4 linked regions of the Rhinolophus ferrumequinum genome follow. The protein of the gene in region 3 purifies or fractionates together with the protein of the main gene of each other region. This does not show direct contact. Links are inferred from orthologs where the notes say so. Each region holds a gene or a part of one and is shown on either strand. Other genes may lie near its edges.

The links.
Region 1: the proteins of L3MBTL2 (region 3) and LIN54 purify together in Homo sapiens (affinity purification with mass spectrometry; 3 studies listed by BioGRID and IntAct, counting the BioPlex papers as one, with this or other methods). This does not show direct contact. The link is inferred for Rhinolophus ferrumequinum from reciprocal best matches to the Homo sapiens genes L3MBTL2 and LIN54.
Region 2: the proteins of L3MBTL2 (region 3) and E2F6 purify together in Homo sapiens (affinity purification with mass spectrometry; 5 studies listed by BioGRID and IntAct, counting the BioPlex papers as one, with this or other methods). This does not show direct contact. The link is inferred for Rhinolophus ferrumequinum from reciprocal best matches to the Homo sapiens genes L3MBTL2 and E2F6.
Region 4: the proteins of L3MBTL2 (region 3) and MAX purify together in Homo sapiens (affinity purification with mass spectrometry; 6 studies listed by BioGRID and IntAct, with this or other methods). This does not show direct contact. The link is inferred for Rhinolophus ferrumequinum from reciprocal best matches to the Homo sapiens genes L3MBTL2 and MAX.

What each region holds. Positions count from the first base shown.
Region 1 is NC_046288.1:37,908,711-37,915,754, reverse strand, and holds the start of LIN54 (protein lin-54 homolog), read left to right. Parts: upstream 1-4,035; 5' UTR 4,036-4,585; coding exon 4,586-4,607; intron 4,608-5,823; exon of another isoform or gene 5,824-6,125; intron 6,126-7,044. UniProt on the Homo sapiens protein: Component of the DREAM complex, a multiprotein complex that can both act as a transcription activator or repressor depending on the context. In G0 phase, the complex binds to more than 800 promoters and is required for repression of E2F target genes.
Region 2 is NC_046296.1:64,748,339-64,756,258, reverse strand, and holds the start of E2F6 (transcription factor E2F6), read right to left. Parts: upstream 3,016-7,920; 5' UTR 2,750-3,015; coding exon 2,642-2,749; intron 1-2,641. UniProt on the Homo sapiens protein: Inhibitor of E2F-dependent transcription. Binds DNA cooperatively with DP proteins through the E2 recognition site, 5'-TTTC[CG]CGC-3'. Has a preference for the 5'-TTTCCCGC-3' E2F recognition site.
Region 3 is NC_046293.1:6,693,209-6,701,087, forward strand, and holds the start of L3MBTL2 (lethal(3)malignant brain tumor-like protein 2), read right to left. Parts: upstream 3,012-7,879; 5' UTR 2,918-3,011; coding exon 2,894-2,917; intron 502-2,893; coding exon 264-501; intron 1-263. UniProt on the Homo sapiens protein: Putative Polycomb group (PcG) protein. PcG proteins maintain the transcriptionally repressive state of genes, probably via a modification of chromatin, rendering it heritably changed in its expressibility.
Region 4 is NC_046289.1:30,902,205-30,909,168, reverse strand, and holds the start of MAX (protein max), read right to left. Parts: upstream 3,010-6,964; 5' UTR 2,794-3,009; coding exon 2,758-2,793; intron 2,038-2,757; coding exon 2,011-2,037; intron 1-2,010. UniProt on the Homo sapiens protein: Transcription regulator. Forms a sequence-specific DNA-binding protein complex with MYC or MAD which recognizes the core sequence 5'-CAC[GA]TG-3'. The MYC:MAX complex is a transcriptional activator, whereas the MAD:MAX complex is a repressor.

The sequences.
Region 1 (7,044 bases), on a different chromosome or scaffold from region 3:
GTATAGAGTGCTGGAAAAAGCATTGCTCTCACCACCACCACAATAATCTAAGTAATGTACAAAATCATAACTTTTTCTGAGCCAATCAAAGAGCTGAGGTCACAGGGCAACAACTAGCCTGAAACCTAAGGAAAGACAGGTGCTTCTAAACACAAATGAGATGCAAGCACTGGGTTATCTGTGGCAGAGCTTGGGAAGGAAGATGGTGTAGCCATACAAACAGGAAAGAAGAATTCTGCTAAATTTTAAAATAAATTGCTAAAGACGGAGTGTGGGCTGGCAGGGAACCCCATGGGAGGCACAATCATAAGGGGAGTTCACATCCACTCCCAGGGTCTTCTCCAGGGACTTCCACGGGGCACCAAGGACAAAGATTTGGAGTAGGGTGGCGGACAGAAACAGGCTGCTGGGTGGTAAAGTCCTAGAGGAGAGGAGTGGCTGCCACTGTAAGAAAGGCAACAAGACGCCCAGACCTTGTCCCCCAAGGAACAAAAGACTTCCATTGATGGAGGAAGGCAACAAACCTGTTTTTCCCCAAAGGACATGTGGAGACCCATTGCAGCTGGAGGAATAGGAAAAAGGGGAAAAACCTTGAATCCTGGGAGAGAACTGGAAACTGTTGTGCCCAGACCATTAGAGGTTATAATGCTGAGGGAGGATTAGGGCCACGGAGACCCAAGGACCCAGAGCCTGCCCAAGAATGAAGTTGGAACAGGACCCACCGCAGAGAAGCTGTTTTCCTTCCCCTCATCCCCACAATCAGTCTAGCAAGCACCAAGTAACAAGCATTCACTGCTGGAAAAAGGCAAGAGCTTAGAGTGACCCTCTCTGAGTGGCAAGAACACAGAAGGCCTAACTAAAACTGGACTTAATGACAAATGGACTCATGAACAAAGGAACTTCTGAATAATCTTTTGGAAACTAACCTAGTTTAAGAAAATATTATTCACTAGCTTATAACCAGCAGTATGCCTGGCACACAATAGATGCCCAGTAATACATTTATCTATGGAGAGGCCTACCCAACTCATTCCTCTATACCACCACCTTTTCGTTTTTTTCTATCGATATTTCCCCCATTATTTTTAAAGGTCTATTTTTTTCTACTTGTTTATTGTCTGTTGCTTCCTCTAGAACTGTGCTGGTCCATATTGTAGTCATCAGCCACATGTGGCTATTTAAACTTAATGACAAATAAAATGGAAAATCCCATTCCTTAGCAACACTAGCCACATTTTCGTTTCTTGACAGCCACATGTGGCTGCTGGCTACTGTATCAGATAGTATGGCCATAGAAGAGTCCCACCACTGTGGAAACTTCCTTTGGCTAGAGCTGCTGTCTTGCTCACCACTTTATTCCCAGTGCCCTGCATGGTGCTTGGGATCTAGTAGATGACCAACGCATATTTGCTGAATAAATGTTTTTAGTTCATCTGGAAAAGCCATCACATAAATGTAAAGCAAAGATCCTCTTTTGAAATATAGATGTTTTGAATATCAGTGGCTCTTAGGAGCTAAAATCCTTTCTTTGAAAAAGTAAAAGATTAGATTATAGGTTAGGCTGTATTGTAGCTTTGATTATTAATAGTTTTCAGTCACTGAGCACTTACCATATGCCAGGTGCTGTTCTAAATGCTTTACACATACTACCTCATTAATCTTCACAACTACTTAATGATGTATGCACTATTTCCAATTGCAATAACTGACATGCAAGAGGAAAGGAAGTTGCCCGACATCACACAGCTCTTAAGCAGCAGTGTCAGAATTTGGGCCCAGGCTGTCTGGCTCCAGAGGCCAAGCGATTAACCACAACACTAGCTAGCTCTGTGTGATTATTTTTAATAAGAAACATTTAGGCTCTTTTTCCCAGTATTTAAAACTTTTTCTCTTATTTAATTGCATCTAGCTAAGGCACCCTGAAAAATGTTAAATAATAGCTGCTAAAGCCCTGCATCTTTGTGAGTTCCCTGGCTTCAATGTGAATGCTTGTGCCATTTCACTCTCTCTAATGTATAATGCTACTGTTGTTTTCTGATGACGATCTTGATCCAATTAAGGAAATGGTCTTTCATTTCTAGTTCAGTAAGAATTTTTAAATTCAGAAATGGCTGTTGAATATTATATAATGCATCCCTAGAGAATATCATTTGGCTTTTCTCCTTTAATTTAATAAATTACATGAGATTTCTTAATGTTAAACCACTGTTCTTGGAATAAATTGTACTTTGTCGTGGTGTGGATTCTTTTTATTACCACATTATTGGATTTGATATCTTAATACTCAATTTTGTCTTTGTAACAAAGTCATAGTGAGAACAGAATTTCCCACTTTTTTTTTTTAGTACTGCTTACCTTGGGTTTTGCTAGCCTTGTGAAATAAAGTGGGAAGTTTTCTCCTTTGGGGGGATTCTTTGTTTCCCTGGGCTTGGGTGCCCCATCTCACTCCCTTTTTCCTTCCAGAGGTGCTCCACGGTACTACCAACCCTTTAACCATGAGGCTGTTTTGTCACACTAACTCTCAAGGTTTCTTGTAAATGGGGCTCACCTACAGATCCCCAACAAAGCCTGTGTATAATTCAGCTTTCTCACGTTCTGTGCATTGGCCACAGACCTTCCCATTTCCAAAGCTTTGCTAATTTCATGTCACTGGCCTTGCTAAAGTCTAACCACTGAGTTTGAGGTGGGAGTTGGGGGGTGGTGTTGATCATGGCAGAATAGAACGAACATTTGAGGCAGAGACTGTGTAGCTACTTGACACTCCTCTCCTCATTTAACCCTCAGAATCCTGGGAAGCTTTATTTTTATTTTGTAGATGGGAAAAGAAACTTGATAAATGTTATATACTGATAAGTGAAGGTGCCAGAATTTAAAATCAGCACTGCTTGATTCCAAAGTGATTGCTGCTTCCACTACCTCTCACCTCCTCCACTGTGTTCCAGGGCTAGTCTCTCACGTTGACCTGTATGTCCTCCTCTCTCCATTGGCAATTATCGACTGTACCACACTATTTTACATTACACTCTTGTATTTTCTATTGTTACTTCTGTGTAGTTCTTGTCTCACACAGAGCAGTTATTACCTGAATAACCTGTCAGTGCCTGTTTATATGACTCCAAATTTGGGTATCTTTTCTTATTTTATAAAAAAGGATAGCGGGAAAAGTAAAAGGAAAAGGTGACTAAACACAAAGAATTTTGATTGTGTTAGTCTTAGCTGTATACTGCAAACAAGTCCCTTTCAAAATAAATTTAACTCTGCGTGTTCTCCCAGGGGCTTTTTAGTGACCCCTACAAAATTAGTGCCTAAAAAACGAAAAGATTTGGCATTTGCGAATATTGGTCACCTCCGCGCTCAAGCACATCAAACAGCAGCAGGATGCTGGGAATCGCACCTGCAGCACGCACTTTCTAGCAAGGAAGGGTAGAAGAGGAAGCCCTTACACCCGCAGGTGTGATCCCGCTCTTCCCCCTCCCAGCCTCAGTCGGATGGAACATTCCGCGCGAAAGCTTTGACAGAGCTCCCACTCAGAGTCACGTGGAGCTGGAGCGTACTTGCGGCACCTTGCGGGATGACGCGAGCTCGGGTTGCTAAGGGGAGGGACAGGCGCCGCGGAAGGGGCGGGGCGGAGGAAGCCGGCCGGGGAGGCGGGGCGGACGGAGTGGAGGGGCGGGCGGAGAGGGGCGCGCGGGCGGGGAGGGCTCAGCGTATTATGGGATGCGGCGGTGGAATGGCGCTGGGCGCGTGATTTTGAACAAACCCGGGTCTGTGTCTCGGAGGCGCCGCCGCCGCCGCGGCTGCTGGGAGCCCAGGGAGCGCGGCGCGAGGAGGAGGCGGCGGCGCCGCCGGCTTTGGTAAGTGTCAGCCCCCGGGGTGGGGGCATCTGGGCGGGCGGGCGGGAAGGGGCCGGGCCCCCGCTTCGGGTGGTGGCGCGGGCGGAGGGCGCCGGACCGCCCCCTCCTGGAGCCGGGGCTGGTGGGTCGTCGCAGAGAGCGGGAACCTGCAAGCTGGGGGTCGCCGCACCCCACCCCCGGGCCGCAGGGGGCGGGAGGATCCTCCGGGCTCGGCCCCTTCCCGCCCGCACCCGGGAGGGCGGCTGTCACCCGGCAGCCCGCCCTTCCTGGCTGTCTGGAGGAAGGGCTCCCGCGGCTGTTGACACGCACACTGCGTGGCCGGAGGAGCCGGCAGTGTCGGCCCGGGATTTCTGGGAACCGGTTTTGCTGCTGTGTCATTTTGTACCAGCCCCTCCTTTCCCTCCTGCCCGCCGCCCGGGTCTTCCTACGCCCCTTTGTATGGTGTCTTCTTCGTGTGTGTCCGTTTTCCTCGCGAAGCCCACCAGCCAAATGTCATAATGTTCCCGAGGTGCACGGGGGAAGGGAGCGGGCCGGGACTTAGCTTGGCCAAGCAACGGTAAACACCAAGAAGACTGCGGGTGGACGAGGCTGGCGGTGGGGAAATAAAGTTTAAAGATGAAGACATTGGGTAGACTTGATACTCTCAGCCTCTAACAGGCTACGCATAGAGACGGCGATTTAGGCTGGGTGGTAAATAACATTAGTTTAAGCCTGAATCTACCGACTTTTATATGGAGTTGCCATTCAAGCAAGGTAAGGAAATGGCTTTTTCAACTTCTACCTCGCTCTTAGACTAACTTTTAAAAAAGACAGTAGAGAGGCCCTATTGGGAACCTTAAAATTCAGTTTGCTCATTTCAGATAAGTCTTTTAGAGCTTATGCTGTAGTTGAATGTATAGAAATTCAGTTTTTGAATGGGTGATTATCATATCTTTCTGAAATTAGCAAAGGTAGCCAGTTTAGTTTTTAAAAAGATACTGGTCTTATCAGAAGTCTTGCAGCTTATGTTTTCTTGTTGTTTTTGATAATTAAAAAATACCTATGTGCTCTTATTTATTAAACTGCATGATGAGAGGAGCTGGAAGGGGTGGGTGGGTAACTGGGGTCTTCTTGTTCTAAAACAAGCTGTTTCACTGTATTGAACAGTGGTAGATTTTTTATTACTATTATTTGGTGACTTAGGTCCTAAAAACGTGGCAAAGAATTATTTTAGCTTAGAGGTAAATTTTCTGTTTTAGAAATTGTTCATTCATGAATAGGATCAATACATGTTAAACGTAGTTGCACTTTAACGTCATAAACCAATTGCAGACAAATTGAAAGTCACAATGTTCATAGACAGAAATGATCAAATGAAATTAAGTGGAGAGATAAATAATTCAGAACTTTATTTTTAAAACTGGTTGTTTGACCATAGTATCTACATGAGGATCAGTGCCTGTAATTTACAAACGTGTTAGAAAGGTCAGACGTGCATATGGAAATAGCTCATTCTGTCAAAGTAGTGCTGACAGAGGAGGAAAGTGTCAGAGTTGGTGAATGACGTGAAAGGTCTTGATCATGTTTTTAGTGTCTGAGATGGGCACAGTGAATACAACGCATTCCATCACCTCTATCAAGTTGCTTTTCTGAAAATTAAAGAATTTGAGTGTATTGTCCTTGTCGCCTTCCCCATGGCTTTTGCTCTTCAAAAGAAAAATGTGCGGGACTGGGGATCCTGCAGGTAGCGCGACTTCCTTTGGTGTGGCTGTCGGGCCCGCAGGAGCACCATTTTTCGTTGTGGGGTGAGAGGTCTCGGCGTGGGCTGTGTGTACATTTGTATCTCCCTGTGCATTTGAAGGTTGGCGGGGCGGGCGGGAGGTTTCCCCGGATATGTGGGTGTGCGCCTCTCGGGAGGGGAGGGCTGGGGATGGGAGGAGGAGGAAGGGGGAGGTTACTGGCGGCGGCGGCTGCGGCGGCCCGGGCTCGGGCTGTCGGGGAAGCTGCTGAGCTGTGATGGTGATGACGAGGTGAAAATGGCGGATCTTTCGAAATACAATCCCGGCCCCTGACATACCAGAGGCGGCGGCAGTGGCGGCGGCGCCACCCGAGCTCCCTTTTCGGTCCCCGCGTCCCCCGTAGCGCTCCACTTCGGGCAAACTGGAAAAGGAAGCGGCTGGCCAGAGCTACCGTGCACAGGCAAACAAGCACCGCCCGGGCTCGGAATTGCCCGGGACCTTCTGGAGCCCCCACCTTGGAGCCGGAGGGAGGAGAAAGCGGCAGCCGCTGGAGGTAGAGAAGGGGGTACCCGAGGGCTTCTCTGTCTTGAGATCTCTTTATTTTGCAGCGGTGCGGGAAAGAATTGCGTTGTGAATCAAGGAATGACTAGTCCGGAGTGCAAAGAATCAGTAGCCTCATAATGACATCAACATTATTCTTTGAGTGTTAAGAGGGCTCGAGTTTGCTCTAATATCTAAGGCTGCTGCTGAGGCCTAGAGGAACCGCTAGCACTTATCATGATTTCCTGATTTAATTTTCAAAATATCCACTCTGGCGGGCGTTGGTGTGATGATGTTCAGCAGGTTATGGGGTTGTATGTTTCCTTCAGGGAGGCAGAGCATTGGCATTTTATTCTGCATTCAAGCTCTTGTCTTAGATCATAGTCTATAACTTGTTGAGATGTGGATGCTTACATTTTTTGAGCGCATAGACCAGTTTTGTAATGATTAAAAATGTTGTTGTTTTTTTTTATGACTCTGTCATCCAAAGAATGACCTCTTTGCCCTGCTATTGGCAAATTACAATTGAGATGTTGTCAGGCATGTTTTATATTTATATGTTTCTCTGCCCCCCTCACCCCCCATCTATTTCATGAATCAGAGAGTAAAGTTATGGAAGATTTTGCAGTGGATTTTATAATCCAAGTGAACAATAGCCCTGGGAGTTCTATTTTGCTTAACAAGTTTTACCTTCATTGTAAGAAGGAAGTTGTGGTGGCTTGATGCATGCATCTGATGTGAGTACATTAGGTTAGTAAAGATGAATTGAGAACTCCTACATTCTAAATATTGGAGCCATTTGTTTAGACAGCTGGAGAAGTAGATTGATTGACTTTATGACATCCATAGTTTAATTTTTATTAGGTTACCTAAAGATCCATGTCAGATCCCTAAGGAATCTGTTTCCTTGCACAGGACAGTAAGTAGTGTTA
Region 2 (7,920 bases), on a different chromosome or scaffold from region 3:
CAAGATTCACAGGAGTGAATTCTACAGTTTTCGGGAGAATTGTATCAGCAAAAACACTGCCAGCGTGGACTAAAAGCGACAGGGACAGTTTACATTCCCTAAAAATTCCACAGACAGGAAGCAGGCTGAAAAAACTACTGAGCTACAACAATATTACCTATCGTGAAAAGGAAAGGAAAACTCAGACTGTGGAACCAAGAGCCCAGAGTGTGGAGCTGGGAGCATGGAGAATTATGCCCAGGCCTTGAGACCTAATCAGGAAATGCGAACATTTACCAGGCTGGATTGCAGCACTGCTGTGGACCAGTTACTGCTCCGCGACTCTTGCTTTCCTCTTTTATGAACAGGCACGTGTGGAGCCGTGATCCTATGTCTGCTGCACTAGTCTACGCTGTATGTTGTGTATGGGGTCAGATAACTTGTGTTTAGTTTCACATCTAAAGATGTGGAGAAACAGTACTTACAGAAATACACCTGAGCAGCCTGGGTTCTCATTTTAGTCCATGAGTATAAAGTCTGTTACTTTAAGGCTCAAACTGTTGCCGATTAGGCCTTTTCAAAGTGGCTCCTGCACTTTGAAATAAGGACACTTGGTTTTTACCTTTTCAGCACCTTTAGGATGCGTCTTCAGAGGAACGCTCCCGTAAATTTCTATGTGACTAACCTGCCCAGATGCCAGCAGAGATGATGCTGCTTCTAGTTCCTGCAACCCACAACTGCGGGGGCAGCATCAACGTTTCTATCACTGAGAGGTCACTTGCAGGTGATTTCCCTGAGCGGATACCAAGGGAGCGCCTAGTACCAGTCACATCTCAGGACTAGACTACCTAAGAGTCTTTCCCTTTCAATCCTCAAATCTGCCTCTCATTTGTTCAGGTTTATTATATAGCCTTGGAAAGGAACAGAGAAGGCAGAGGCCTCCAAAATCACTACGGATGACAGCAGCCTAAGAACCAGCAGCTTCTGATGTGCAAGTCAGCACATTCCATGCTATTTTACTACCGTTCCTAGTCCTACATCTAAAGACCAATGCTTCTAAATCTGAGATTTCAAAGAAAAAGAAGAGACTAAAAAGTGAGTTTTGGAAACTAAAATCTTAAGCACTGTCTTTAAATTAGTTAAAAATTTCTCTATATGGATGCCTCTTTGTACCGACTGCCTGTTTTGGAGAATAACATCCCTTTAAGAGCCCTCTGAAAACATACCTTTCTCCAAGGTGATTACATTCATTTAAATGTTCCTTAACTGAAAAATAATACTATATTATATACTGCTAATAATACTAAAAACATACTACCTTCAAACAATACTATTTTCTCCCTTCTCAGTTTGCAAGCCATTTACGTAATGGGAACATCAAACAGTCAGGTATATAACTAATCTTTGCACAGCAATAGACTTCTATGTATTTAATTATTAAATACTTCCAATCATTAGCCAATTAAAAAACACAGACATAGGTATTCGAATCACCATTTTATCCAAAAGAATGTGAAAATCTGAAAAATTTAGCAACTATAAGCAGTTCAGGAAAGATAAACCCAGGGGCCTGATTAAGAAGTTTCGAATCTAACCTGACAGCACTAGGGAACCACAATAGAGTCTTTAAGCCAAATGAAATGATCATAAATATGCTGTAAAAAGACCACACGGTTAGTTGCTGTGTGGAGAATATACAGAAAAGTTGGGGGCAAAACCAGAAGCAGGAAAGGTGGTTAGTAAGACATTGCAACAATCTGAAAGATAGATGGTTAAAAGTGGCAAGTACTGGGGATTAATTTTAATTGGATTAGAAAGATGGAGGGAGTCAGTTTCAAAAAAAGAAAAGGCAAGAATGATGCTTAGGATAGGTGTTTGGACAATACGGTGGGTGGGTGTGTTACCATTTATTAAGCTAGGAAACAGCAAAGTTGTTTCTTGCTTAGGTTAGAAGATAATGAATTCAATTTTGGACATGTGAGTTTCAAATCTAAGTAGAGATATCTAGTAGACAGTTGGAAAGCTCTGAGCTCGATTTATAGATTTGGGAGTTACATCATGACATACAGTATATCGCATCTAATCTAGAGCAACAATAGAGGAAATTAACCTTCAGCTGGAACGAAGCCCAATCTCCCCTTCCATTTTTTTCTGTCTTTCTGAATGGGGAACTGTGGGGTGGGAAATGTGAGATATGGACAAGCTTTTAAATAGTTACAGTTAAGTAGAATGGGAGAGGAAGCCCAAGAGAAAAACGATCGCTTGCAGAGATATACTGAGGGTGAGTGGAAGTAGGAAAACAAGATTTTCTAACGCAAAGTTGAGCAACTTTCTCCAACAGTGCTCCGTAGCCCCAAGGTAAAAGCCAAGAAGGCTGACACATTTGAGAGGACGTGTTGAAAGAAGGCAACAGAGTTTAAGCGAATGACCAGGTTGGTTCATAGTAGTACATAATGGGCAGTGCAAGACCAGAGGAGACAGGGGAGCAGCCACGGCCCAGCCCTGGGCGAGCTCATAATTCAGAAGACACTCAGTGCGGCTTCCCCAGTGAGGGAAAGGGGCGGCTAGCCTGAGACGCGAGCCGCCCGGACCCGATCCCACCCCACCCCGCCCCCGGCCAGGACCCCAGGCGCGCAGGACTCAGGCTGGCCCGGGGACTTACCAGCAGGCCCTCCACGTTGATGGGGTCTCGGCACCGGCGGCGCACCGTCTCCTCTGCCGGGTCCACGAGCAGGCTGGGCAGCTTCCGCGCCGGCCGCTGCTGACTCATGCTGCCCGGCCAGCGGCCCCTCGCCCTCGCACCCCGCGAGCTCTCCCGCCTTCTCCTGCTCGGGTCGGACGCCGCTCCCAACGCTTTGGTTCCCGGAGCCCAGACCTGGGCTTGTGGCCTGCTCGGAGGTGCACTGGGCTAGTCTGGGCCGGAGACGAACGCGCCACTGTCCAACGGCCCCGGGAAGTAGCACGCAGACTGCAGGAGCGCAGGGAGACCCACGATTCTCAAGACGCCATGCCCGCCATCTTTCCGCATGCGCAGTGCGCCGCCCCCAGTGCGCATGTCTGGCACAGCGGGAGCGCTCCCACGCAGTAATCCGGTCCTGAGCTGGAGCCCGCGAAACCCTGGGAGGCGGAATCCACGGAGAGGATGGCTAAGGAAAAGGAAGAGGTGGAGCAGGAATCCGGGGGAAGGGAACAGCACGAAAAAAAAAAACAACACAAAAAAACAAAAACAGGCGGCCAGGAAAACCGCATTTGTCCCGCGGAATTCTTGACATGATGACACTAGTAACTGAAGGATCTGAGTGGGCAGAGGTGTTAATTTATTCCTGAGCTCCCTCTGCACATCTCAGGCACTTACCCAGCGTTGATGCTTAGTAAATGTTGGAAACCAAACCGTTGCGGAATTGTTTACTTACATGCTTCTTTCTCTTTCTTTCCTTTTTCTTCCAGTTAAAAGATGCCCTTACCTACCAGAGTCCCTGAGAAGGCAAGCTCTGGACACCAGTAAAGACTGTTTTTAATAAGTAAGGTGTTCATTCATCATTTGCATTCTGCTCAATGTTCTACATACATTTTCTCATGTAAATCTTGTATTAAAACTGATGGATAGGTGTTTTTCTGCCCAATTTACAGATCAGGAAAACAAAGATGAGCAAGATTACAAAAATTACCCCAGGTCCTGGCTAGGCAGTGGTAGAAGCAAGATTTGACTCTACAGTTGATTAATTAATTTGGTATGCCGATTCTTGAGAAGGCGATTGAAAGGTGACTAGATTATCTGCAGCCAGAAATGGGGTCAAGTGAGTGAAAGTGAGGTGTGGGTCAAGACGAAGTTGGCAGGCACTCCAGGCTGAAGACAGCGTGAGCACAGCTGTGGAGGGTTAGGGCAGTGACACCCCCTCCAGACACTTACAACGCCTGTGACTTGGCAGGAAGTTGAGGGAGTTCATGCTCTATGAAGCCAAGGTCACCTGCTGAGAGTAAGGGGAGATGGTAGGATTGGAGATTTGGGAGACATAGCATGCACTCAGTTAATATTTACAAATGGGGAACAATAGAGAAGACTGACTTGCCAAACATAGTAAGACTGCAAAGTCACACTAGACATTACCTCCATCTATGGCTATCTCACATTGTCTCTAATTACATATCCTCCTATGAGAGTTGAAGGATGAAGAGGCATGTGTAAAAGATGGCAGAGGAGAAATGGTGGCAGCAAGGACTGTTCCCCATTAATTTTCTGCATGTAATAATCTGGGTCATAGAACCATAGAGCAGGAAGAGGTCCTGGGGATCAGTTAGTAAAACCCTCTCATTTCACAGGGGATGGAACCCAGAACAGAGAGGTTAAGTGACTTGCCTATGATCAAAAAGATGTTCTCTAGCAGAACTGGTCTTTTTATTTCCAGATCAGTACACGTTTTAGGAAATTGAGATGAGGTGCCAGACCAACACTTACAGGAGAGGAGTGTTGAAGAGTTGGAGGATGCTGAAAAAGGAGGGTGGCATGGAAGAAGGGACAGACATACAGGACTGGAACGCGTCCTGCATCAACCCTTGTTTAGCCCTCACCGGCAAGTAACTTAACCTTTAGGATCTTCAGATTCTATATCTGTAAACCGAGTGTAAACATACCTGCACATCTGTTGTATTAGAGATAATGGGGGTCGAATCCCTGGTGCAAAATCCGTCTTCAATGGTAGCGAGAACTTCAGATTTCCCAGGGGCTGTTTATAATCAAGTCTCAAAGCTTCCGACTCCAGTGACTAAAAGTTGTTGTAAAGTGACAATCAAATGGAACAAAGAGCAGTGCAGTTAACTCTTTGTTCTGAGGTTTTGTTCAGAACTTGACGAGTTTTCAGGGAGTTCCCAGGACGATGCTCGCCCACGAAAGTTTTCATTGGTCCAGGCGCATGGATTCAATTCCCCGCTTAGCAACAGTATTTGCCTCCTGCATCAGAAAGGAAACAAAAAAGTAAACCTGCAGTCAAATGCACCCACAAGGGCAAATCCCCATGAAAGCCTGTCAAAAAAGACCTGTGGGGAAGAGAAGCTACTGCTGTATGCCTCAGTGAACTCCAATGAGAAAGTCACAAAGGGAGGGGAGGGGCAGCTCGGTGGCTTGTCGGCGCTCGCTCCGAGAGGGATTTTCAGCCCTTCCCTCCTGATTCCCGTTGCGCCATGACTTCGCTCGCTCGTTGTCATTGTTCTTGGACTATTATAACTGCTTCCTAATTCATTTGCCTGTCTTTCATCTCTCCACCTACAAGGGATTCTACACTCTCACTGTCAAATGAAACAGCAGCCTTTTTCTTTTCTTTTTTTGAGGGGTGACTATTGACTTTACATTGCCAGAGAAATCTTTCCAAAGCACAGATCTGATGTCATTGCTTCTCTATTTGAAATCTGTCAGTGGACTTCGTATTACACTCCCCTGTACATCGGTCACTTGCGTGCCTGGCTGTGTCCCCCAGCACACTTCTGGAGCGCGGGAGCTGTGTCCCCGGCACTCCGGAGCCCCGACCGCCTTATCACGGTCCAGTCACATTAATCCTCATTCAGTCCCTCAAAAGCTTTCCTTCACTGCTGAGTCTTCTCACAAGATTTCTTTGCCTAGAACATTATCCCTTTGATGCTTCTTCTAGCAAACTCCTCATCCTCATTTTAGACGTCTTTCCCTCAGGAAGCCTTCCCTGAACCCCAGTGAGGCCAGCACGTCAGCCTCCTCCCCGTGTTGTCTGATAAGCTCCTGGACCGATGCCCTTAATAACATTTCGCCATCAATAGGTACATTACATTGTAAATAACCAAATAGCATTTGAAAAAAAATAAAATCTTTACTGTGCTGACTTCGCAGTGTAGAGTGTAGAGCAAAACATGACAACACGAAATATAAAGATAATCTTTTGTCAAACCTTCTAAGGATTCCTTACAATGGATTTTGTTTGATTCAGCATTATCAAATTATTGGTAAATTTCTATTTTTCCTCCTGCTTGAATTTTATGCTAATCGATACTAATTTTCTTGGTATTTCTTAAATATTGTAGGTAGGATTAAATTTTATTTTGGAGAAATAAAACTAATTCTCAGCATTGGGAATTCTCAGAAATTAATTGATATGGAATACACTTCAGGAAAACTTGCACACAAGTTGTCAGATATTTGATAATTTATCTTACACAAATCTTCAGGGTTCAAGTTTAATTTGTTAAAGATTTTATCAAAGCAAAGTTTTGTTAGTAATAATTTAGATGAATCATTTGAATTTATCTGACATTTTTTGTATGTATTAAAAATTCATTTGAATTAATTGTGTTGAAAAAAGAAATACACTTAGCAAACTTGAAATCTTTTGTTAGGTAACTACATATCATTTACATAATGGAAAAGATAAACTCTAATACCCTCTCCTAAAAGGAAAGAAAGTTGCTAAATATTAGAAAACAATAACATTGGTTTCAGACTTATGATTCCAAAAAATTTAAATATCATTAGACCGTTGAGAAATTTTGATCAAAGAAAAGTAAACAAACAAAAACATTTGAATTAATTTTTTTGACTAGACACATTTACATAAATAGTGAAAAATCTCCCTCCCTTCTCTCAATAGAAAAGTCCTCTCTTTGGAGGCCACCACTGCGTTCTGTGTTTTTTGTTTGTTTGTTTGTTTGTTTGTATTCTTATAGAGATGGTTTATGCACAAATATTTATCTATGTCATTGCCCCCTAGTTTACACACTAAAAGTCATACCATTTCTTGCTTTTTGAACCTAGAAAAATGTCTTGCAGCTTATTCCCTAACAGTGCAACAAAAGTCTTTTTCCCTCCCTCTCTTTTATGTCTACACAGTACTGTACTGCTACATATACTATATGTATAACTATAAATAACCCATGCTGTTCCCCAACCCTGAACACTTAGGTTGTTTCCAATATTTTGCCACCACAAATAGCACCAATATAGAGCAATCTTGTATAGACTTCATTTCACACAGGTATGAGTATTCCTAAAAGATAAGTGGCTAGGAGTAAATCACTGGGCCAGAGGCACAAGAATTGGTGCTTTTGATAGATATTGTCAAATTGTTCTCCAAAGAAGTTGTATTAGTTTATCTGCCCTTTAGCAAGAGCTAAGGGTATGTGAAATATGATAAAGCAAACAAATGTTCACTTGGTCTTTAGAAAACAGCATTATTCATTCTGTATCAATACATTTCTTTGACAAAAGCATCCTTATTCTTTGGGATAGAAAGAAACTACAAACTGCTAGAACAGTAGTTTTTCCTTGCTGATGCTATCAAAGTTTTTCCAGTCATTTTGGCTTAAGGTCTGACATGTGAGTGTGATATACACATGACTTTTTGGATCTATCACAATAATCTAAGTATGTTATACATGTTCATAATGTATGTAGTGTACATTATATGCTATTACATTCCTGAGTATTCCTTGGAATAAACTCCCAAGAGGTGTTCTTTGCAGAAAAAGAGAAAGAAGGTAAGTGTGATAGATACCGACATCTACAGCAATATTGTTTATATCCTTTGCATTTTCTTCAGCCCAATGTAATTTCGTTCTGTAAATGCCATTAGAGATTAAGAAGCTGGTCTTTAAATTTTGTTTCACCACTTGCAGAGTGATTTATTTCTGTACACATGATTGGAGCAGAGCATCTTCTCACACTTTTGAATAACTTTCATCTTTTCTGGTTGGGTTGGGGAGCCCAGTGCTAAACGGCTAGTGTCTGACTACACTGCTACCACATTTTTAAAGCAAGGTCCTATCAAAGTTGAATTCTTACATTCTGTTCTATTTGAATTCTATACAAGCACACTTTAGGTTGTTTGCTAATGTCTTATTGTTAAATGGCTACCTCCTTGTACTATCCCCATGAACAATATCAGTTGCACCAGGTTGGTTTTGCCCTTCGGACTCTCTCCCTGT
Region 3 (7,879 bases):
TGTTAATGACTCGCATCTAATATGTGCTAAATAAACATTAGTTGTATGAAAGAATGAATGAAATCAGACTGCAGCAGAGGAAATGACCCTTGGGGATACTTGGGGTGCTTCTGTCTCTCACAGATCCTTAGACATCTGATCCCTTAGATGTCAGATCAAACTGCCCTTTCCACCTGGATGCCTGGATGCTCACGTAGCCTGTGTCCCCTCTCCCTCCACAGCCTCCAGAAACCTCCCCATCTTCAGGGACACTCTGAAGGCACCTGGCTCAGAACCACTGCCATCCAAGGAGCGGGGAGTCCCAGGGCTGAGCAAATGCAGGGGGGAGGTGGGCAGCTCCCCTGCTTCTCTCTCCTCATTTTCTGCTTCACTTGACTCCTCTAGGTAGGAGCTGCTTTCACTGCCCGCACTGCTGTTATAACTCCGGAAACTGTCATAGCCACCAAAGAGCTCCAAGTCGTCATCTTCCTCTTCTTCCTCCATTGCTTCTGAAGGAGTCTCCTATGAAAGAATGACACAAATCAGGCGGGAGGAATCATGTTTGGCTTAGTGTAGGGGAAGGGCGGCTGCCAATCTGCTCTCAGCTCCCTTTCCAGTTCCTGGTCAGGTCAACACTCTTCGGTAAAATGGCAGGCAGAATCAATTACCCTTTGCAAGCACCAGGATCGTTCCTGTTGTTCATACAGTTCTCAACCACAATGAAAAGAAATAGCTTAACAAGACAGAAAAAACATGTATTAGGAATTAACCAAGCTCCTTCTGTGGATTTATAAGTGATGGCATTTTAACATGATTCAAATACAATACAGTGATATGAAAATATCCTAAGTAAGGTGCCTCATGAAGACTTCCTGGGAAAGATGTATACAGTTGGCCTTCGTATCCATGGATTCCAAATATTTGGGAAAAAAGTTACATTGTTGGTGATGTGTGTGCTATGTACTTAGGCCTATGACAGTTGTGTCTGTACTGAATGTGTACAGACTTTATTTTCTTTTCATTATTCCTTGAACAATACAGTAAAACGACTATTTACATAGTATTAGGTATTATAAGTAATCTAGAGATGATTTCAAGTATATGGGAGGATGTGCATATATATGCAAATACTACGTCATTTTATACAAGGGACTTGAGCATCCAGATTTTGGGTTCCAGAGGTGTCCTGGAACTAATCCCCTGCAGATACAACGGGACAACTGTACAGACATACCTTGTTTTACTATACTCTGCTTTATTGCACTTCACAGATGTTGGGTTTTTTACAAATTGAAGGCAAGACTCTCCACCAGCAAAAAGATTATGACTCGCTTTATTTCAGTGGTCTAGAACGGAACCGCAATATCCTGACGTATGCCTGTATTAGAAACTCATTGTTCCCCCTTCAGCATATGTACACCAAAATAAACTCAACTCAAAACAAGTCAAGTCAGAGAAAAGTTAATTTGGGACCCAGACTGCCCTAAGGACAATTTGGGAAGCAGAAGACACAATAGTTATAGCATATATACTACAATAGCTTTGGACTAAGTTCTGATCCTAACTAGCTGTGGGTCCTTGGGCCAGTCATTTAACCTCTCTGGGCCTCAATTTTCTCATCTATAAAATAAGAAAAATATTTGGCTCACAAGATGTACAATATAAATGAGATGTTGCATATGAAACTACCTGGCATGTAGTAGAAAAAGTGTGAAGGGTTTGGGCTCAAGACCAAGGCTCAAATACCACCTCTCCTTTTTACTAGCTGTGTGATTGTGTGATCTGCAGCAAGTCAGCCTTTCGTGTCTCAATTTCCCCATCTGTAAATTCTGTAAATGCGGATACTACTACATATTTCATTGGCTTTGGGGGAGAAGTAGGGCACTCAGAACAGTGACTTGCATATCATAAGTGTTCAGTAAATGTTGGCATTTATTATTGATTAAAAGCATGGAATTTCAAACCAGACTCACCTAGGTTTGAATCCTGGCTCTGCTACTTATTATCTGTGTAATTTCTGTACAAGATAATTAACCTTGCTGCTCTCAGTTTCTTCATCAGTAAAACAAAGATAATAACAAGCCTTCTTTAGAAGACTGTTAATGAAGACTGAGACATATAAAGCCTAGATCTTTTTCCAGCAGTTACTGACAGCTCTAAAAGTGTGAGCTATTATTCTCTACTTTATTATGATTATTCTCCTTCACTCTTGTATTATAGAATTTTTGAGCTATTCCATTTTATATGTACAACTGCACATGGAAATGTGCTAGAAAGGAAACCAAATTCAAATACAAGGTGACCAGGGCCAAATGATTAAAGGGCGAGTGAGTTACAGGTTGCAGTACAGTGGGAAAAGCGTAACAAGCAACGTTTTGGCGCCTGAGGGACTTAGTGCCCACATCCTGTACTTTACTGTGGTGTTGGAGAGTCGCACCATCTATCTAATATCTAACAAGCCTCAGCTATTTTAACCATAAAAACGAAACAATGACACAGGATTGTCGTGAGTATACTGGGAGATAATGCACGTGAACCCTCCTCCAGACACGGAGTGTTTCTTAAACTTGAATCTCCCTTCACGTCCCACCAGGATATGAGAGGCCTCATAATCCCTAAAGAACCCGACCACGAGACAGGAAAGACGAACAAGATTCAGGAGCTCTCACATCCTGAACTCAGTACCCCTTTCCCAAACCAGGGGGCTGTTTCTCCCTGAACTACTCGCCCGACGTCGGCCCCACCAGTATCCGAGCAAGAGGCACGCCGATCGCTTCTGGCCCGGCTCAGCCTCAGTTTATCCATCCTTCCACCCTCCACCCGCAAGGCGTCGCTGAAAGGCCTAAAGAAGGGTCTCCCGGGCGAAGCTCTCGGGGTTCCCTTTCCCAGACACGGTAAGTCCTCTCCCTCTCACCTCAACGCCCCGGGGTTTCTCCATGAGACCTAACAGAGTTTCTTCAACCGTCACCAGGTGCAGGAAGCCATATTGGCCTCGTCGCTTTCCCGAAGTGCACTCATTGGCCGCCTCCCAGAGACGCGGACCAATCACGCTGCAGGAAAGAGGAACAGCCGGTGCCGCGCTCGCGCGCGCCCCTTCTCCCCTGAGGGCGGGGAAGCCATGGTCACTTGTGGGACTTGTAGTTCCCCGGTGGGTGAGTGTGGAGGGGGCGTTGCTATAGCGACATGAAAATCGCTGAGGGCGGGTCCTGCGTGAGGTTTTCATTTCTTTACGCCAGGCTCTTCCCTTCACGCAGACCCCACTCTTCATTAAGGAATTCTGAGCACCTGCAATAGTCAGGTGGGACAACTGTCCCTAGTCTTGGCTCCATTATCCCTTGTCTATCCCTGGTCCTGAGACTGTTCCAGGCTCAGGAATAACCTCGCATTGTTCCTGATTAGAAATTTAAAGTGCTCTTGGGCGGGATGCCTAGCAGACTCATTTCCAATTCAGGCAGAAACTGGAATACTCTTACGCCCAGTGCTATAAATGTCCCGCATGTTCAAAATCCTGCAACACTGTCCCTACATTACCGTCTCTCAAGTAAAGCTTTGAATATGAGGCTCTCTGTCTCATTCCTTGGGATTTTCCACAACCTCCTTACACACTTAGAGTTCTAGGTGCGGTCATGGAGCTTTACAAACATCTCAAATCCAGGTATGTCCTTAAACCTTTGAAAGATGAGGAAACTGGCTCTTGGGGTTTAGACTCTTTCCAAGATCACATAGGATTGAAATTTAAGATTTAATCCAAGTTCTTTCCCTGAGCTGTGCTGTGCTCTGGTTAATTGAAAATCTAAATGTAATAAGTGGAGGCTGAATATATGTTAAATATATTTCTAAATTTGAGGTCCATCACATAGATGAGAAAGTCTTGCTTGATTTTTTTCCTTCAACCTTTTCTACCTTCAGCCCCATATCCATGCTATCAACAAGTACTGTCGCTTCTACCTCTGGAATATGTCCTCATCCTTCCACCACTACCACCCTAATACAAGCCACCAGCAACAGCCCTCCAGCTGGTCTCCTTGTCTGAACCTTCACCTTCTTTAATGCACACAGGTGATCTTTTAAGGTCATAAACTGGATCATGTTCATTCTCTTGCTTAAAACCCCTAATAACTCCCCCTTGCACTTTGAATAAAATCCAATCACTCCACCAGACCTTGAATGACCTGGCCCCAGTTTTCTCTCCAACTTCCTCTTGTAGCACCCTCTCCATATTTTCGCTTTATCCATTCACTCACCTCTCCTTACCGGTCTTGATTGCCAAGCTTGAGTTGGCCTCAGGGCCTTAGTACTCGCTGTTCCATTTGTGTGGGAAATTCTTTCCAGGGCTCTTCTCGTGGATGGCTCTTCATTGTTCAGATTTCAGATCAAAGTCACCTCTCAGGCACCTTATTTAAAGCAGCTGTTTCCTCCCCTCACTCTGTATCCCTTTACCCATTTTACAGTCCTTGGTAACACTTGTTTCTGTCTGAAATTATCTTGTTCATTTGTTCACTTGTGTATTGTCTATATCCCACCACTGGAATGTAAGTCCCATGAGGGCAGGGACAGTCTGTCTTGTTCTCCATTGTATTTCCAGAGCCAAGGACACAGCCTCACATACACTAGGTGCTTAATGACTAAAGAACTAGATAATAAGACTTCACGGATTACAACAGGCAGCTTTTAATAAAAAATTAAAGTATAATTGACAATATATTACTTTCAGGTGTACAACAAAGTGATTTGACATTTATATACCTTACGAAGTGATCACCAAGTTAAGTCTAGTACCCATCTGACACCACACAAAGTTATAATTGACTGTAATCCCTATGACGTATATTACATCCCCGTGACATTTATTTTGTAACCAGAAGTTTGTACCTCTCAATCCCCTTCACAGTTTTTGTCCTCCCTGCCACTGCTCTCCCCTCTGACAGCCATCAGTTTGTTCTCTGTATCTGAATCTCTTTCTGTTTTGTTTTATTTTTTAGATTCCACGTGTAAGCCACCTCATACGGTATTTGTCTTTCTCCATCTGACAATAGGCTGCTTCTCCAAGGCAAAGCACTAGATGGGGTAGCTTCCTATTCTGACCCTTGTGAACAGTTTTGTTTTACCACTAACAGGGGTCCAGGCCCAGTTCCTCCAGCTGGAGACCTAGGCTTTCCTCCTCTGCCCCTCAGCGTCCTCATCACGTAAACGGGACTAAGTTAACCTCATTGAACTTGAAAAATCCCATGATTTCAAAGTGCAATGAATGATTCAAGATTGAACATCAAAGGTGATAAACAGAAGGAATCTAGGTTTTAATCTGTAAAATGGGAATAATAGGACCACATCATTGGGTTGTTGTGAGAATTAGAAATAATAAATGTGCAGTGCCTGCCACATACTGGGCACAGTGAATGGTAGTTATTATCATCCTATTAGACATAGAATGGCAGCAACTGGAAAAGTAAACCAGCCCAGAAGAAATACTTTTATGGGTTGTTTAATCTTTAAATTTTTATAAAAGCACAACCATAGATCTCACAGGCAGAGAATCTGCTCATGGCAAATCATCTTATTCATCAAATATTTATTTAGTGCCTACAGTGCATCAGGTACCATGCTGGACTCTAAGAAGACACAGGTGGTGGCTATTTCTGTCCTCATGGACTTTACTTCCTCCTACAGGAAGACAGTGAAAACAAAGAGCTAGTTCCAACTGAGAAGGAACTTAGCAGGGTGCTGGGCTGGAGAAATGGGAAAGGGAGCACCTGGGTAGGGGATCTTTCCAGAAGGCCTGCTACATAAGAAACAAACATCCTTGACTTACAGGATGGGAATGAGCCAGTTAGGAGAAGAGGGAAAGGGCATTCCTGGCAGATACAGAGTTTAGGGAGGAGGTAAACAGCTCCAGTTGGTAGGAGAATATTATGGGAAACCTTTGAAGGTTTTAAGCAGGGGAGTGAATTAATTCGATTAGTTTTCGTAGATCACTCTCTGGCTGCTGTGTGGAGAAGGGAGTGGAGGTGGGTTAAGAGAGGCAGCAGGGAAACCAAGTTGGAAGACTCTCATAAAAAGATCCAGGAGAAAGATGATGGTGGCTTGGACCAGCGCAGACTCAGAGGGCATGCAGAAAAGTAGAAAGATTTGAGAAATACGTTGGAGGCAGTAATTAAATGTATGGAGTGGGTTTGAAAGAAGGAGGAATCCAGAATGACTCCAAGTAAATGTGTCAGATGGGTAGACGGTGGGACCTTGTTCTGTAATGCATAAAAACTGTATGAGAAATGAATGAGTTTGGGTGGTTGAATAGAAGGAATTAAGAATTCTGCTTAGTCTACAGCCGTACCACCCTGAATACACCTGATCTCGGAAGCATTCTGCTTACTCTCAGATGCCCCCAAGAGGTCAAGGAGGCAGTTGGAGCTCATCAGAGAGCCCTGACTGGAGATCTAAATCTTGCAATTTTTGGCATCTTCCCTTTAAGATAGAATGAGAGTCCTTAAATCCATCTTCTCTGTGATGTATTCTTTTTCACATCTCCATGCATATATCACCAACAGTAAACAAGGCAGAAACCTGAGCTTTCCAGTTTTGTAATATTTCAACAAAAGAAACAGAAGTACCAGACTTTGGGGGAGGGGAAGCAGTAGAGTTGGGGATTCCAGTGACAGGAACTGTTAGCACAAGTTGAAATGGCGGTTAATTAGGAATTTAGTTGAAATATCTTATTTAGCACAGGTTGCTAAGTAATAGTGGCCACCTGGAACGGTGTGGTCCTTCCTTCTGCCTTTGATCTCCTGGGCTTGGGTCTTATGCTGTAGCAAAGGTACCCTTTTTGGTTGGTCTGAGCCATGCTTCTGCACACCAAGCTCATATACACCTCTCTTTTCAGAGCCTTCTCTCTGTGAGTCACTGTCCCTCTCTCTGGGATCCTTGATCTCTCTCGCTCACTACTGAATCATCCCCAATAGCAACATGACTGTGCTCGTGTCACCCATACTATACAAATAAATCCCTTGAACCCACCTCCTCTGTCCCCGCCATTGTGCTATTCCACACCCCCCAATCTCTTGAAGAACTTGTCTGCACACACTACCTCTACTTCTGCTTCTCCATGTGTCCTTATGCTCCACCAAAACTGCTTTGTCACGTTCACATACAGCTTCTCTGATGTACAGCCATGCCTCTCTTCTCTCAGCAGCATTTGGCCTAAGGATGACGCCATCCTTCCTGAAACACTGTCCTTTCTTGGGCCCCTTTTGGTTTTCCTCCTGACTCTGGCCGATCCTCTCCCCTTTGAAGGGCCTTCGTCTGCTACCTGAATTCTTTCTTTTCTTTTCTCTTCTCTTCTCTTCTCTTCTCTTCTCTTCTCTTCTCTTCTCTTCTCTTCTCTTCTCTTCTCTTCTCTTCTCTTCTCTTCTCTCTTCTCCTCTCTTCTCCTCTCTTCTCCCTTCTTCTCCCCTCTTCTCCCTTCCCCTCCGCTCCCCTCCCCTCCTCTCCTCTCCTTTCTTTCTTCTACCTGAATTCTAAGTATTGGCTGGTGTTCTTCAGGGCTCTGTCCTGGGCCCTTTTCTCTTTTCTTCTTTCCATAAGTGACGTCTTTCATTTTCAGTGCTGTAAATGCCATTTATATGCCCCACATTTACATCTCCAGCCTATGTATTTGTCCTCTGAGCTCCAAAGCCATATATCCATCCGTAGAGATGACAACGTGACATTGCATCATAAACCACAAAACAACACTTTAACCCTTTACCTCAAACCGATTTCACTTCTAATTTTCCCTATTTCAGCGCATAGCACTACCAACTACTCAGCAACTTCCTCTTGATTCCTCCCTCTCCATCCCTCACTTTCAGTCCAGCAGCAAATCCCTTTGTTTCTCCAAAACCTCCCTCAAATATTTCTACTTCCTTCA
Region 4 (6,964 bases), on a different chromosome or scaffold from region 3:
TTTATTATCTATGCTAAGTGTCAGGAACACATATTCAGAGAAAAATAATGTAATCCTTTTTACCCTACATGTTTATAATTGTTTGATACACTATAAAATTTGTCTATGGCTTCTTCTCTCCATGCTACTGTAATTTCCTGTGCCAGATAATACTGAAAAGTCTCAGCAAGTAGATGTCAAATTAAAAACAAAGGGTCAAACCCACTCCCTTTGCCCACCCACCAAAATCAAAGAGAAAAATCGTAGGCACCTTAACAACAAACTCAAAATATATCTAGACAAAACAATGAGATTAGCATTCTAGGAGAGTGGAAACATTTTAATAATTTAATAAAGCAATTTACATCAACGCCCATGTGGATGAATACTTTGAAAAGCAGAAAGCTTTCAAGAACAGTAAGCCAAAATTTCACATGGAAAACTTTTCCCCCACTGAAAAGCCAATGTAATTCCAATTCAAATAATAATTCCAATTCAAATCCATATCCTCCAACCCTGATCAAACCCTGGAGCAGATTTTATAGAGACTTGGAGAAAAAAAGATGTTTTAAATAGACTGGGTCCCAAGCATGAAATTCCACGTTCACATTATTAATGGTAATAGTAACTGATAAAAAAAGGAACTGAATTTTCAAATATATATATAAACTTCAGTATCTGACAATACTTCAAGGAGAAATAAATTTTTTTTAGTCACTATTAGCCAGGGTAATTTTTAATTTTTAAAACTCTATCCTCAGATTTTTATTGAAATATCAGCTCTCAATAAATAAAACTTTTCTTAATGCTGATCTGCTTGGACAAACTGCAGAATTTTTGCTTGCTCTAATGAAAGTACCAGTAAGAGGGCTTGCTTTTATCCTGTGGTAATTAAATTCTTAGACCAGAGGTATCAAAGTGGCATCCTGCAAATTCTAGTAAGCCTCCAAACAACCTGATTGTCCCACACATCATTTTAAAAATCAGAAAAATAACACGTACCCCAGTCCTGCCCTCTGCTCTCTACTTTATTTGTGACTATCTGCCTGCCTAGGTCCCCCAGAGGCATAGGAATTTTTGACCACATTCTATACACTTACTGTTCCCAGCTGTCAAACAGTGGACACGCTAATATACTTATTTCTTTTCCCCTCTGATTCTGATTTTGTGTCTGTTCTTTTTTTCTTTCTCTCATCTATTCATGGAACACCCACAGGACTGTCTCTGACTCCAAAGATATTATTAGTGTATATGTATATCAACATCTGTATCTATATCTACATCTGTATCTACATCCATAGAACCATCTACTGAGAACACTAATACCAAAATCCTGACAAATTATTGATGATATTGTATGGTTTCAACCATCACCTTTTAGCAAAACTACCTCTGCAATGCCACCTTTCTTTAATTATTTTTCTATTTTATCTCTCTCCTTCAACTTAAACATCATCAGACTACACAATAAGCTGTATGTGACTCTCATATTCAACCTCTGGCTCCTCTACATTTCCAATTTCTGTATTAGAATAATACCATGGTGTGTTAGATTCAGTAAGTCTACAGCAGTCACATGACTTTTGGTTAAAGCCGATCACTGCATGTGGCTCCAGCTTCAAACAACTAGATAGATATGGTTTAGAATCGATTTGTTCCCAAGTAAATCTTTCGACCACTCTGCCCTGAAATCATACAACTTACTTCAGAATGATGCATTTCTCATCTACAACTTATATAGTGACAGCTAGATTCCTCCATCAGAAAACTTTGGAACGATTCATTCCTTTGCATATATCTTCTCTCACTCATCCGGTCACCGCAACTTGTCACCTGAGAACCTAAAATTATGAGATTTGCAAACCCACCTCCCCACCTAGAACCCCAGAACAAGGCCCCAACCTCACCTTAGCGATCAACAGGAGAGTTTACTACATTATTAAAAGTAATAGAATGATCTTTTTCTCTCTGACCCCAAAAAGGATTAGAACTGAATGGAAATGAAAATGAAATGGAGAGTAGGAGACGTACCGCAGATTGAAACCTCGGTTGCTCTTCCTGGAATAAGAGAGAAAAAAAATAGAAAATATAGAAGTTATTTTTACACTTCACATTCATTAAAGAAAGAAAATGCCGGCGGCGGAGGAAGCGGCGGGTGGGGAGTCAGCCCGACCTCCCTCCCTCCCCCACACCCCTAACCCCCCCAGCGGGATCCGGTGGCGGGATAGGGGGGTCCCGAGCGCCGCCCCTCCTTCCAGGATCCGACCCAGGCTGGAGGGAACCAGAGCACTGTTTCCTTTCCTCGGACCCAGCTCTGGGCATCTGGGCACTCCCAACCCCTCACCGTCCTCCCTCACCCCCCCAGGATCCGCGGGTCAAGAGAGGAGGGGATCACGGACCGATGGGGCAGGTCCTGAGCGTCGTCCCCTTCCCTAGGGTCCGGACAATGGGATCCCGGCGCAACCCGTCCCTGTCCCCCGGATCCTGAGCGGTATAGGGTGGGAGCGGGAGGCCGCAGCACCCTCCTCCACCGGGGGAGGATGAGGGTCCTAGAGGCCGCGTATCTCCCTCCCACCTCCAGGCTCAGAAGGCCGCTCGGGCCAGGAGCCCGGAGGGGAGCAAGCCGGGAGCGCGACGGAGGCGGTCCGAGCCCGGGGGGCGGGGGAGGGGAAGGAGGCGGCTGCTGCCCGGCCCCCTGCCGCCGTCACCCCGCTGAGAGCCCCGGCCGCAGTCCCTGCCTGACAACCCGCAAGGGAAGGAAAAAATCCCGGGACTCACGTCGCTCTCCACCTCGATGTCATCGTTATCGCTCATTTCCTACGGCCCAGGGAGCGGCCACTGCAGCGACGACGGGGAAGAGGGAAGGGTGGAGGGGAGAGGGAAGTCACCGACAACAACAAGCCGAGTCCCCACACACACACACTCACTCACTCACTCACTCACTCTCTCACTCACACACACACTCAACACGGGCGAGAACCACCTCCTCACTGCAGCACCAGATCAACGGCGGCACGCACGCCCGGTCGGCCCCCTTCCACGTGACCAGGCTGGTCACGCTGGGGCCGCCGAGACTTGTAGTTCTCGTTCTTTTGACTGACGGCACAGCTAGCGCCAAGAAAACTACAAATCCCGTAAGGAACTGCAACTAGTCGACGCCAGCCCAACTTGTTGACGGAGCCCAGAGCGCCTGCGTGTCCCATGGAGTGGGCGGAGAGAGAAGCAGCGCAGTGCCTGCTGGGAGTCGTAGTCTGCGACTCCTAGTTGTCAGGAGGTTTTCTCCCGAGGCAGCCGTGGAGACTCCTGGGAAGAGAGGACACGTGGAGGGAGTTGGAGCTCCTGAAGCCGGGCACGGTCTGAGCGCCGGGCGCCGGGCCCAGGGGACAGGGTGGAGGCTCTGGGGGAGTAGCCAGCTTCCTAAATAACGCTGTCTCTCCTTGGTGCGACTGGTTTTACTTTGTCTTCTTAATTCCTGAGTCTCCCAGCTTTGCGCCCTGGGGCGTAACCCGCCAGCTGGGGATCCTGCTGCGGCAGACTAGGGGACGAGGCTCGGGACGTCCACGAGAAGGACCCTGAGGATCTGGCTATGAAGATGTGTCAATGTCAGGTGTTAAATAGTGTTACAGGACCTGCAGGATGACCGGCCTCACCGAGGGACAGCTGCCAGAGGCGAAAATCTTTCCAAATGACCATCCTTGCTACTCACGTGAGGCTCATACATTCCCAGACACCCCACCCCCCACCCCTAACAACCGTTTCTGTGGAAGTAAAAGCCTCTTCTGAGTTTGTTGCAGTCGAGGCAGTTTAGGGAGTGCCCCAGTTCAGAGTACCATAATTTAGAATTGCAAAAAGTATCAAAACGTGAAACTGCACCTCCTGTCCATTTAGAATCATATTTAGATACGGTGGCATGAGGTGTCATTGTATCCATTCCACCAATATTTATTGAACACCTACATGTGCCAGCATGGGGATGCCATAATGTATCAGACTGGAACTGTCCCAGACTTCATGCTGCTCACAGCTGTGGAAACAAAAATGAGACTACCCTGCTGCCATTTTAAGAGTGTACATCAAGTCCCACAGGAAGAGAAAACAAGACACTTTCACCCCTGACAGAAACAAAGTACCCGAACTACTCTTTTACATCTGGTCTCCAAAATGAATGAAATCTTGAGCTTTTCTCTTAAATTTCTGATTCCCTCATGAAAACCATTTTATCCCTGACTTTTGAATACAGAAGTTTGAGGATATTTGTCACAACCTTTGTGACATACATCCCCATATCATTCGTGCTGAAGAGACATGTAAATGTGGTAATCTTTACATTTTTTTCCCTTTAAATAACTGTTGTATTTCTTATTCAGTGATCCAGTCCTACTGAAGTTTGCACAGCTTTGCAAGTAAACATCTTTTCTAAATGCGTTTGTCTCCTAGTCTTCTTTCACACTAAGTGGGGGAGACAGACATAAGCAGACCATTATGATATAAAAGCTGATGGGCTATAAGGGAGACAGGGAAGGTAGCTCTTGCATGAGTTAGTTAGCTAGATATTAGAAGTTAGAGCTAATTCATGATCACAACAAACAATTATTGGGTGCCAGTTATGTGCAAAGCACTACAGGGCAACACTGGCTACAAGTTAAAATCACTCCAGGGCTATTAAAAATTCCAATGCCTTGGCTGCACCCCAAACCAATTAAGTCAGGACCTCTGGGGGTGAGAACCAGGCAGCAGTATTTTTTTTAAAGCTCTGCAGGTGATTCCAATGTGCAACCAAGATGGAGAACCAGTGCTACAGAGGATGCCAAGATAAATAAGATAGTGTTCCACTGAATCGTGTACTTTACAAGAGCGAATTTTATGGTTTGTCAATAATTGTATTTCAATAAAGCAGTGATATAAAACATAGGATAATCTTTGCCCACCTGGAATCTAAAACCTGATAGGGGAGTAAATTATGAATACAAATAATTGCAGTGAACACAAACTAAGTGTTAAATTAGCTACGCAGACAGTGAATGCTGTAAGAGCTCAGAGGAGGGAGAAATATTTCCAGGTCTGAGGTGGGGTGGGGAGGTATTGGTGATCAGGTAAGTCTTGTTAGGCTGTCAGCTCCATCAGGCTAAGGATGGGATCTGCAGAGACTGGATCATATTTTGGTGAACATGAATCCTCAGTTGTTGGATGGAGGCCTGGAGAAGTAGGCAGAAGTGATGAGGAAAGTCTTTCCAGATAGAGAGACTGGTGATTTTAACAGATATCTTTTTAGTAATTGATAGAATATGAAGACCTATCAACCCAGGTAATACTTTTTTTTTTTTTTTTTTAAGATTTTATTGGGGAAGGGGAACAGGACTGTATTGGGGAACAGTGTGTACTTCCAGGACCTTTTACAAGTCAAGTTGTCCTTTCAATCTTAGCTGTGGAGGGCACAGCTCAGCTCCAGGTCCAGTAGCCATTATTAGTTGTAGGGGGCGCAGCCCACCATCCCTTGCGGGAGTCGAAGTGGCAACCTTATGGTTGAGAGGATGCGCTCCAAACAAATGAGCCAGCCGGGAGCACAGCGGTAGCTCAGCGGTACCTCAGCTCAAGGTGCTATGTTCAATCTTAGTTGCGCGAGGTGGAGCCCGTCATCCCTTGCAGGAGTCGAGGAATCGAACCTGCAACCTTGTGGTTGAGAGCCCCCTGGCCCATGTGGAAATCGAACCAGCAGCCTTTGGCGTTAGGAGCATGGAGCTCCAGCCACCTGGTCCACCAGGCCGGCCCCAACCCAGGTAATACATTTGACCTAAGACACATAAAACACTGCACCCAAAAATTGTAGAGTATATTATTTTCAAGCTCTCATGGAACATCTATAAAAATTGATCAAAAAAAAATAAAAAAAAAAATTGATCACATTCTGAGCCCTACATCAAATATCAACAAATTTCATAGGACTGTGATCTTAGAAGACAAGTTCTTGGACCTAACGCAATTAAAGTAGAAATAATAAGTAAAAGATAACTAGAGGGGCCTTGAGCTGAGCTGCTATGGAGCTCCTGGAGCTCTCAGTTGGTTGGAACACGTCCTCTCAACCACAAGGTTGCCGGTTTGACTCCTGCAAGGGATGGTGGGCTGCGCCCCCTGGAACTAACAACTGCAACTGGACCTGGAGCTGAGCTGTGCCCTCCACAACTAAGACTGAAAGGACAACAACTTGACTTGGAAAAAGTCCTGGAAGTACACACTGTTCCCCAATAAAGTCCTGTTCCCCTTCCCCAATACAATCTTTAAAAACAAAACAAAAAACAAAAACACTAGAAAATCTTCACACGTTTGGAACTTAAGAAACACTATTAAGTGACCCAAATAGAGGTACTTTCACAGGCAAAGCATAATAGCAGCAAAGAATTAGACATACGAGAACATACATTTCCTCTAGTTTTCCTTTTTAGTATTTTTATGATGTGAATAATAATCTAGGACTCTTAGAATTCATTTGCATCTCTGCATGCGTGTCTTTGGTAAAGCCCTATGTGAGCTTCTCAAGACTGGGACTTGTCACTGGGCAGCCCAATCTAGCTCCTTTCTACTTCAAGTTTGGTCCAATGGTATCCATATCACCAGGGAGCTTGTTAGAAATACAGGCCCCATCCCAGACCTACTAAATCAGACCTGCATTGTAAGACCGTGTTTCCCCGAAAATAAGACCTAGCTGGACCATCAGCTCTGATGCATCTTTTGGAGCAAAAATTAATATAAGACCTGGTATAATATAATATAACATAAAATAACATAACATAATATTGGGTCTTATGTTAATTTTTGCTCCAAAAGACGCATTAGAGCTGATGGTCCGGCTAGGTCTTATTTTCAGGGAAACATGGCAGTATACCCAAGTGATTCATATGCACATTAGAGTTTGAGATGCTTTGATGAGCGAGGATATTCCACAAAAATGTTAACATTTGTCTCTGGGAGGTGGAATTTCCAATGATTT